2 linked regions of the Callithrix jacchus genome follow. The protein of the gene in region 1 purifies or fractionates together with the protein of each later gene. This does not show direct contact. Links are inferred from orthologs where the notes say so. Each region holds a gene or a part of one and is shown on either strand. Other genes may lie near its edges.

Evidence for each region.
Region 2: the proteins of DDB2 (region 1) and COPS6 purify together in Homo sapiens (affinity purification with mass spectrometry; 8 studies listed by BioGRID and IntAct, counting the BioPlex papers as one, with this or other methods). This does not show direct contact. The link is inferred for Callithrix jacchus from reciprocal best matches to the Homo sapiens genes DDB2 and COPS6.

What each region holds. Positions count from the first base shown.
Region 1 is NC_133511.1:112,267,922-112,272,255, forward strand, and holds the start of DDB2 (DNA damage-binding protein 2), read left to right. Parts: upstream 1-1,336; 5' UTR 1,337-1,522; coding exon 1,523-1,649; intron 1,650-2,720; coding exon 2,721-2,857; intron 2,858-3,237; coding exon 3,238-3,429; intron 3,430-4,334.
Region 2 is NC_133503.1:13,493,097-13,497,625, forward strand, and holds the start of COPS6 (COP9 signalosome complex subunit 6), read right to left. Parts: upstream 2,878-4,529; 5' UTR 2,865-2,877; coding exon 2,798-2,864; intron 2,576-2,797; coding exon 2,450-2,575; intron 2,257-2,449; coding exon 2,125-2,256; intron 1,478-2,124; coding exon 1,389-1,477; intron 1,289-1,388; coding exon 1,226-1,288; intron 975-1,225; coding exon 927-974; intron 839-926; coding exon 724-838; intron 639-723; coding exon 546-638; intron 446-545; coding exon 345-445; intron 215-344; coding exon 74-214; 3' UTR 1-73. UniProt on the Homo sapiens protein: Component of the COP9 signalosome complex (CSN), a complex involved in various cellular and developmental processes.

The sequences.
Region 1 (4,334 bases):
CTTCCACCCCCACAAACTGTCAGGCATGGGGCTTAGTGGGTGGAGGAAAGGCCCAGCAGTATCTGAGTAAGCCCAATCCCTCCCTGCCTCTTCGCGGAAACTAGGGTGCATCCAAACTGCCTCTTCTCAGGCTAGGCAGGACAGCGTGGACTCATCTCTGAACCTTCATGCCTTGGCCTTTGGCTGAAGCCAGGCATAAAAGTTCTAAATCCCACTGGCTCATCACTGTCTCAGGCTGCTCCTAGGTGGACATTCAACAGGTTAGGCAAATCTTAATTAAGATCAGTAAGGAGGCTGGGCATGGTGGCTCACAACTGTAATCTCAGCACTTTGGCAGACTGAGGTGGATGGATACTAGGGGTTCTAGACCAGACTAGGCAACATAGGGAGACCCTGTCTCTAGAAAAAATGCAAAAATTAACCGGGTGTGGTGGTGCGTGCCTATAGTCCTAGCTACTTAGGAGGCTGAGATGGGAAGGATCAATGCCCAGGAGGTCATGGCTGCAGTGAGCCCAGATCCTGCCGCTGCACTCCAGCTTGGGTGACAGAGAAACTCTTGAAACAAAACAAAACAAGTCAACCACCAAACAAACAAAAAAGCACTGAGGGCCAGACAAGGTGACTCATGCCTGTAATCCCAGCACTTTGGGAGGCTGAGGCCAGAGGATCACTTGAGCCCAGGAGGTCCAGACCAACGTGAGAAACATAGCAAGACTCTGTTTCTACAAAAATAAAAATAAAAAAATTAGGCTTGGAAACACAGGTCTGCAGTTACGTGGGAGGCTGAGGTGGGAGCATCAGTGAAGCTTGAGGTCAAGGCTGCAGTGAGCTGTGATCGCATCACTGTACTCCAGCCTGGGTAACAGAGAGAGACCCTGTCTCCAGAAAGGAAAAAAAAAAAAGGCAAAAGTAAAGGATTTTCAATCAATCTTCCTCATTCTCCCTTCACAGAGAAGCAGCTTGGATTGGATGGGACTGTAGGATCTAGAATATGACTGCAGGGCCGGGCACGGTGGCACACGCCTGTAGTCCCGTCTACTTAGGAGGCTGAGGTGGGAGGATCGGTTGAGCCTAGGAGGCGGAGTCTGCACTGAGCTATGATCGAGCCACTACACTCCAGGCTGGGCGACAGAGCCAGATCCCATCGCTAAAATAAAATAAATAAATAAATAAATAAATAAAGCCGGGGGCCATCTTTGCTCCGGGCAGGTCAGCTGACCCGGGCTGGCACAGATCCTGGCGCAGTTCCTGCCCCTCCCGGGAGGGCTGACCCCGCCCCTCTTCCTCGCCCTCTCCCCGCGCCCCCGCCTCCCAGGAAGGGGCGGATCCCCGAGACGGGTGGGGCCGGAGCTCCAAGCTGGTTTGAACAAGCCTTGGGCATGTTTGGCGGGAAGTCGGCTTAGCTCGGCTACCTATGGCCCCAGAGTTTTGTAGTCCCCGCCTTGTTTCTCCCCAGAGGCCTCTCAATCCTCCCTCCATGATCTTCGCATAGAGCACAGTACCCTCTCGCACGGAGGACGAGATGGCTCCCAAGAAACGCCCAGAAACCCAGAAGACCTCCAAGATTGTATTACGCCCCAGGAGCAAGAGGAGCAGGAGTCCCCGGGAGCTGGAGCCCGAGGCCAAGAAGCTCTGTGCGAAGGGCTCCGGTACTGCCTGTGCCTGCTGCTTGAATATTTCCGCCTTTTGGGGTGCTCGCTCAGGAGGCTGCAGCGGGGGATGGGTGCTCCGAGGCTCCCTAGGCCGGCCCAGGTCACGGATGCCTCGGGCTGTGCATTCTACCTGCAGGTCCTTTGACACAAGAAAGTTTAGGCTTCAACACCTGTCCCGCTAGGTGACAGGAAGCAGATGAGCTCCGTAACAACAGATACACGGACTTGTCAGGTTCCTTGTTTATAGCAGGGTTCTTACACGGTTAGGACGGCTTCGGAGAATCCTACCTTTCCTGGCTGTGTGTGTGCTGGATTTCATAGTCACGCTTGTTAGCTGCGCGTCCTAGGTGGTCAGCTGTGAGAGCCCCCAGTCTCTTCCCTCCTTAGAAAGCTCATTCTCTGAGGTTTACTGGGGCTTGAACCTGGGGCTATAAGGAGTTTCGAGACACTCAAAAGACGGGAGTCGGGGCTTTTTAAGTGGTTTTTGTCTATGAGAAGAAAAGAATTGGTTGTTAAGTGGTCAGACCTATAGAGATTGGGTCCTCAAATACAGTTCGGTGATCTGGCGCTGTTGCTTTAATTCCTATTCTAATTTCATTTACCTCCCCAGAAGTAACCTATTTAGCATTTCCAGGCTTTTCTATTCCTTCTTTTCCTAAACAGTGACTTCTGCCATGCTGCCCTGAAATCTTTTTAATCATGCATTATATGTGATTTATAAAATTGTGACTTAGTCCCATCTCGAGTTTTGCAGCCCAAACTGGGAAGAGTTCTTCAGTGTGCTTTATTCTTGTGTGTTTCTGTGACTGGGGTCTCAGGAACCCTGCACAATCTATTTAGTTTCACTTCAGACTTACTGTTTGAGGGAGTGTATTGAGGGAGAGACCAAATCCTCACTAATTTTTTAATTTCTGGTGCTGGGTGAGACCACGTAGACAAGGAAAAGCCTTAGGAGGTGATAAGATGGAGATTAGCCATGCTGAATGAAACAAGGCTTCCTTTTGGGGATTTCAGCAGAAAACCCTTTCGTGAGATTGGAGAGGAAAATATGTCTGTTCTGCTTGGCAGGTCCTAGCAGAAGATGTGACTCAGACTGCCTCTGGGCGGGGCTGGCTGGCCCACAGATCCTGCCACCATGCCGCAGCATTGTCAGGACCCTCCACCAGCATAAGCTGGGCAGAGCTTCCTGGCCATCTGTCCAGCAGGTAAGGCATTTTCTTCCTCAAGCCTTCAAGGATTTGTATGTGCATTTTTACTATTGCATGCTCCCAAGTTAGATGATGACTTGGTTCACCAGCTTGTCAGAGTGGTCCGATCACCCAGACTGGTGACTGGCCTACTGGGCACTCAGCCAGGTAAGAAAGTCTTACGTCGTAAAGGTCCAGCTGGAATGTACTCTGCCCCTGTTGCTTTCCAAGATGATTAGTTTGTGTACATTGCAAATATTTTCATGTACAGGGCAGGCAGTTAGCTTTCCTTTGGTGAGAGGACTTGGCTGTGGGGCTCATCTATGAAGGAGGCAGAGATTGGCATTTACCCAGGACTTGAGTTTTAATTCAACCTAATTCATTTCTTTCTGTGACAGGGGCTCCAGCAGTCCTTTTTGCACACTCTGGATTCTTACCGGATATTACAAAAAGCCGCCCCCTTTGACAGGAGGGCTACATCCTTGGCATGGCACCCGACTCACCCCAGCACCGTGGCTGTGGGTTCCAAAGGGGGAGATATCTTGCTCTGGAATTTTGGCATCAAGGACAAACCCACCTTCATCAAAGGGGTGAGCAATTCCCTGTGCCAGGTAGTGCTAAAGACGTGTTTGTTGGCCGGGTGCAGTGGCTCACGCCTGTTATCCCAGCACTTTGGGAGGCTGAGGCAGGCGGATCACCTGAGCTCTGGAGTTTGAGACCAGCCTGGCCAACATGGTGAAACCCCATCTCTATTAAAAATATGAAAATTAGCTGGGCGTAGTGGCAGGCGCCTGTAATCCCAGCTACTCCAGAGGCTGAGGCAGGAGAATTGCTTGAACCCAGGAGGCAGAGGTTGCAGTGAGCCGAGATCTTGCCATTGCAGTCTAGCCTGGGCAACAAGAGCAAAACTTCATCTGAAAAAAAATAATTATAATAAAATAAAGATAAGGAGTGTTTGTTGAAGGAATGAAAGGGATACTGATGTCATCTAGTAATTGTCAGGAAGAGAACTGGGATCAAAAGTAACTGTGGGCATTTTCAAATACGTAAATGGTGATGATACTCATATATTTTTCTAATGTCTGCCCTTACAATATTAAAAGGTATAGACTATTGATCATCCATAGAATTGAAGCCCCTTCTGGGCCGGGCGTGTTGGCTCACTCCTATAATCCTAGCACTTTGGGAGGCTGAGGTGGGTGGATCATGAGGTTAGGAGATGGAGACCATCCTGGCCAAAGTAGTGAAACCTGGTCTCTATTAAAAACACAAAAAATTAGCTGGGTGTGGTGGCGCACACCTGTAGTCCCAGCTACTCAGGAGGCTGAGGCAGGAGAATCTCTTGAACCCAGGAGATGGAGGTTGCAGTGAGCTGAGATCATGCCACTGCACTCCAGACTGGGCGACAGAGTGAGACTCCGTCTCAAAAAAAAAAAAAAAAAGAGAAAAGAGAATAAGAACTGAAGCCCTTTCTTACCATATTGACCTCATCTTA
Region 2 (4,529 bases), on another chromosome or scaffold:
CAGCGGTTTCTAGTGCCCCCCCGCTTTGGGACAGTTGCCTGACCCCTGTCCATCATCCCTTCAAGTACCCGCATCAGAAAAAGAGCCCGCGCATTCGCCTGCCAATGCCTTGTCGGTCGTAGAGGACGTTGAACTTGTTCACAAACTGGTTCATGGTGTTGCACGTTTTAGTGATGGTGCCGAGGTAGGCCATGAGCCCCACATCATTGCATTGCTGGGAGGGAACATAAAGGACCAGTTCTTCAGGGGATCTCTTGTGGCATGCCCAGGGAACAACAGTCCCCAGTCCTGCATGTGAAAGTGACAGCATAAGCCCCACCTCCCCATCTGGGTTTTACACTCACATCATAAAAGTCTGTCTTGAACTTGTCTGTGCTGAGCACTGGGAGGCAATGACACAGAGCATAGGCCTCCCGCAGGATCTCATGATTAAAGGGGACCTCTCCTAAAGGCACAAAAAGAGGCTGCATTAATTTGGATGCTGTCACTTCCCCAGAAGGGAGAGGAAGAACCCCAGGGAAGTGTCAGGGAAGCCCTTGACCTACCTGCTTCAGAGGCCTTGACGTACTCCAAGATGAGCTTGACGCGGCTGTGCAGCATCTTGATGGCACTGTGCTGTGCTATCAGGTGTTCAGCCACTGCAAGGGGATGGAGACAGGAGGAGGTTGGGACAGGATGTGGCCACACATTCCACCCCCACTTCCAAGGAATCCCCTCCGTTACCGGTGGAGTTCTCTCCACTGCCTGTTGCTGTCATTCGGGCCACGTGGTCTACACCAATGCGTTCCGCTTCCTCTGTGGCCAGAGTGTAGGTCAGCTCAGCAAACAGCATTGTGGCCTACAGGGCAAGGTAACCCACAAAGGGAGAATCAAAAGCAGGAAAGAGGACAAGAGCAGGATGTGAGGGTTGAAGGGTAGGGTTTTACCTCTCCGTTGATTATATCAATGACAGACTCAAAAACGCTGACAGGAAGCTGTGGAGGAGATGGAGAAACCTGAATACTATCTGCCAACATTGGGGCTAGTCGATTTCACACATTTCCTCTCAGCTAATTTTCCCTAGAAACCAATGAAGTAGGGATTACCTCATTTCACACAGTTTGGAGATTAAATGACTAAGCCAGAGTCACAGCAGATAAGTGGCATTTGGCATTCCCCAATACACCGTCACACAACAAAAGGTACAGCAACAATTATGACACAGTAGGCATGGGATATTACTTACATCTGTGTGCTTGGTCATAGGGTTCAACTTCAGAAAGAGGGGGCTCTCAATGATCTCACACACCTGAATGAGAGGGACGATGCACAGGAAGTCAGTGCCCCCCTTTCTCCTTCCCCTCATCCCCCATTCTCTGCTTCAGCATGCACAGGTGTGAGATGTATACCTGCTTGTGGACGTGGATGTCCGAGGGGTCAGGTGGCCCCCCTGTGGTATACCAACCCAGAAATTCCAGCTCCTTGAACACCTGTTTAACTGAAGGGGAAGGGACCAAAACACATAGTAATTATTATTATTATTTTGAGACAGAGTTGTTCTGTTGCCCAGGCTGGAGTGCAGTGGCGCAATCTTGGCTCACCACGACCTCCGCTTCCCAGGTTCAAGCGATTCTCCTGCCTCGGCCTCCTGAGTAGCTGGGACTACAGATGCACATCACCACATGCGGCTAATTTTTGTATTTTTAGTAGAGATGGGGTTTCACTATGTTGGCCAGGCTAGTCTTAAACTTCTGACCTCATAATCTGCCTGTCTCGGTCTCCCAAAGTGCTAGGATTACAGGCGTGAGCCACCGTCCATGCCCAGCCTGACATAGTAATACTTTAAGCCATCTTTCCTCTGTGTGAAGCTCCTGGTGTATTTTCACCAGCTTCTCTCCCCGCTCCTCAAATCCTGGCTCAGTTTAGAGTAATTACTCCCTTCTATCCTGTCTTTTATCCTTTACTTTCTTTTTGGGAAAGAACTCTTAATGTGTTCTTTTTCTGAGATCTCTCCAGCAATTCTCTTAACCTTTTCTTCTCTGTTCTTGGCCTCCTCTCCTGTTTATTTCCAACCTTCTCCATCTTCCCCACCCTGTACTTTTTTTTTTAACTCCCACTCCTCTTCCCCACGTCTATTCCGCTCACACTGCTCTTCCTTGGTGTAATAATATTCCTTGTCAATGATAATCTTCTCTTCCACCGTGTGGGACAGCAGCTCAAAGGAGTTCATCACCTCGATATTTCGGCCCTCCTGCTTCCCAATCAGAGCCCCAATCACTAGGAAAGAGAATGACATGGAAAAGGTGAGGGTAAGGAAACTTCTATCACCTAAGGGTCTGAGGTCAGTGGGAGCCAAGTACTGGGGAAACGATGACTTGAGGGAGGGGGAACTGGCTCCAGTAAAAAAAGGGAAAGACGACTGGGGGAGGTAAGCAAGGAGAGGAGACTGGAGGCTATGCCCAACACTCACCCTGCACAGGCCGCCCCTCCTGGGAGCGCATGCGGATCCAGTGGTCTGAGATGTTGAGAATGACAAGGGGATGGAGAGCGACGGATACACTCCCAGTCACTCCGGAGGCCATCACGCTGGGGACTACTAAGGGTGGAGGGAAAGTAGAGAGGGTGAGAGTCCGGGCCCCACGTCCTTCCCTGGAGACGGCAGTGGGGGACGACGGAGCCCGGCCACACTTCCCTCCCGCAACTTATCCCAGGGAAAGATGTTGCTGTTCCGCCCTCCTCCCTTCTTCTGGGAGCACAGGGAGGCCTCAACGCACCCCTGAAGGAGGTCTCTGGAAGCCACCCCCACACAGCCCGTTACCTGCTGCATCCACCTCCATCCCGCTGCTCCCTCCGGTCCCGTTCGCAGCTGCAGCTGCCGCCGCCATTTTCCTCGCGCCCGCCGGCCTCGGCCCCGCCCCCTTCCTTCCCGGCTTCCGTAAGGTGAGAGGCGCATGTTCAGTGTCCCCGCGGCGCGCGGCGGGCCAGGAGTCCCAGGAGTAGGTAGTTCACTGGCTTGGTTGACGGTTTTCTGGCTAAGGGATCCCGACGCCCTCGCGGGTTTTCGCAGACCTTGTCCCCTCCTGACGCCTGCGGGTAACGTTTGACAAATTACTTAACGGCTTGATAGTCCTCATCTGTAAAATTGAGATAAGAATGCCTAGTTCTTTTTTTTTTTTTTTTTTTGAGACGGAGTCTCACTCTGTTGCCCAGGCTGGAATGCAGTGGCGCGATCTCAGCTCACTGCAACCTCCGCCTGCCGGGTTCAAGCAGTTCTCCTGTCTTAGCCTCGCTAGTAGCTGGGACTACAGGCGCACACCACCACGTCTGGCTAATCTTTGGTATTTTTAGTAGAGACTGGGTTTCACCGTGTTAGCCAGGATGGCCTCTCTCTCGTGACCTCGTGATCCCCGCCTCGGCCTCCCAAAGTGCTGAGATTACAGGCGTGAGCCACCGGGCTTAGCCAAAAACGCTTAGTTCTTAAGGCTGTTGCAGAATGAATGAAATGTCGTGTTACTGCCCTCACAGTAAAATCCAAACAACCGACCACACTCTGCAAGGCCCTGCCTGAACTGCCCTGGCCTGACCTCTACTTTTCTAGCCCTTGATATTCACGCTTCAGCGGCACTGGCCCTCATGTCTGGTTTTGTTGTTTGTTTGAGACAGGATCTCACTCCATCTTCCAGGCCGGAGTGCAATGGTCTCATCTCAGCTCATTGCAGCCTCAGACTCCTGGGCTCAAGTGATCCTCCCACCTCAGCCTCCCAAGTAGTTCGGACTACAGGTGCGCCCCACCACACCCAGCTGATTTTATTATTATTTATTTATTTATTTTGAGACGGAGTTTCACTGTTACCCAGACTGAAGTGCAATGGCACAGTCTCGGCCCACCACAACCTCCGCCTCCTGGGTTCAGGCAATTCTCCTGCCTCAGCCTCCTGAGGTACTCCTGAGTACCTGGGATTACAGGCACGCGCCACCATGCCCAGCTAATTTTTAAAGTATTTTTAGTAGAGACGGGGTTTCACCATGTTGACCAGGATGGTCTCGATCTCTTGACCTCCTGATCCACCCACCTCGGCCTCCCAAAGTGCTGGGATTACAAGCTTGAGCCACTGCGCCCGGCCGTGTTTTTAGTAGAGATGTTTCACCTTGTTGACCAGCATGGTCTCGATCTCTTGACCTCGTGATCCACCTGCCTCGGCCTCCCAAAGTGCTGGGATTATAGGCATGAGCCACCGTGCCCGGCCTATTTTTTAATTTTGGTCAGAGACGGGGGTCTCGCTAGGTTGTGCAGGCTGGCCCCCAGTTCCCGGGCACAAGCAATCCTCCATCCTCGGCCTCCTAAAACACTGAGATTATAGGCGTGAGCCACCACACCCACTCTCTATGTCTGTTTTTCACATTCCTCACTCTTCCATTCAAGGGCCTGTGGTTCCTTCCCTTTTGTACGTCATGGTATCCCCTGTGACCAACACAGTGCCTGACTCATTGGTGCCTAAATACTTTTTGAGTGAATGAAGGAATAATTTAGGGTGCAATCTGGTTTTGAG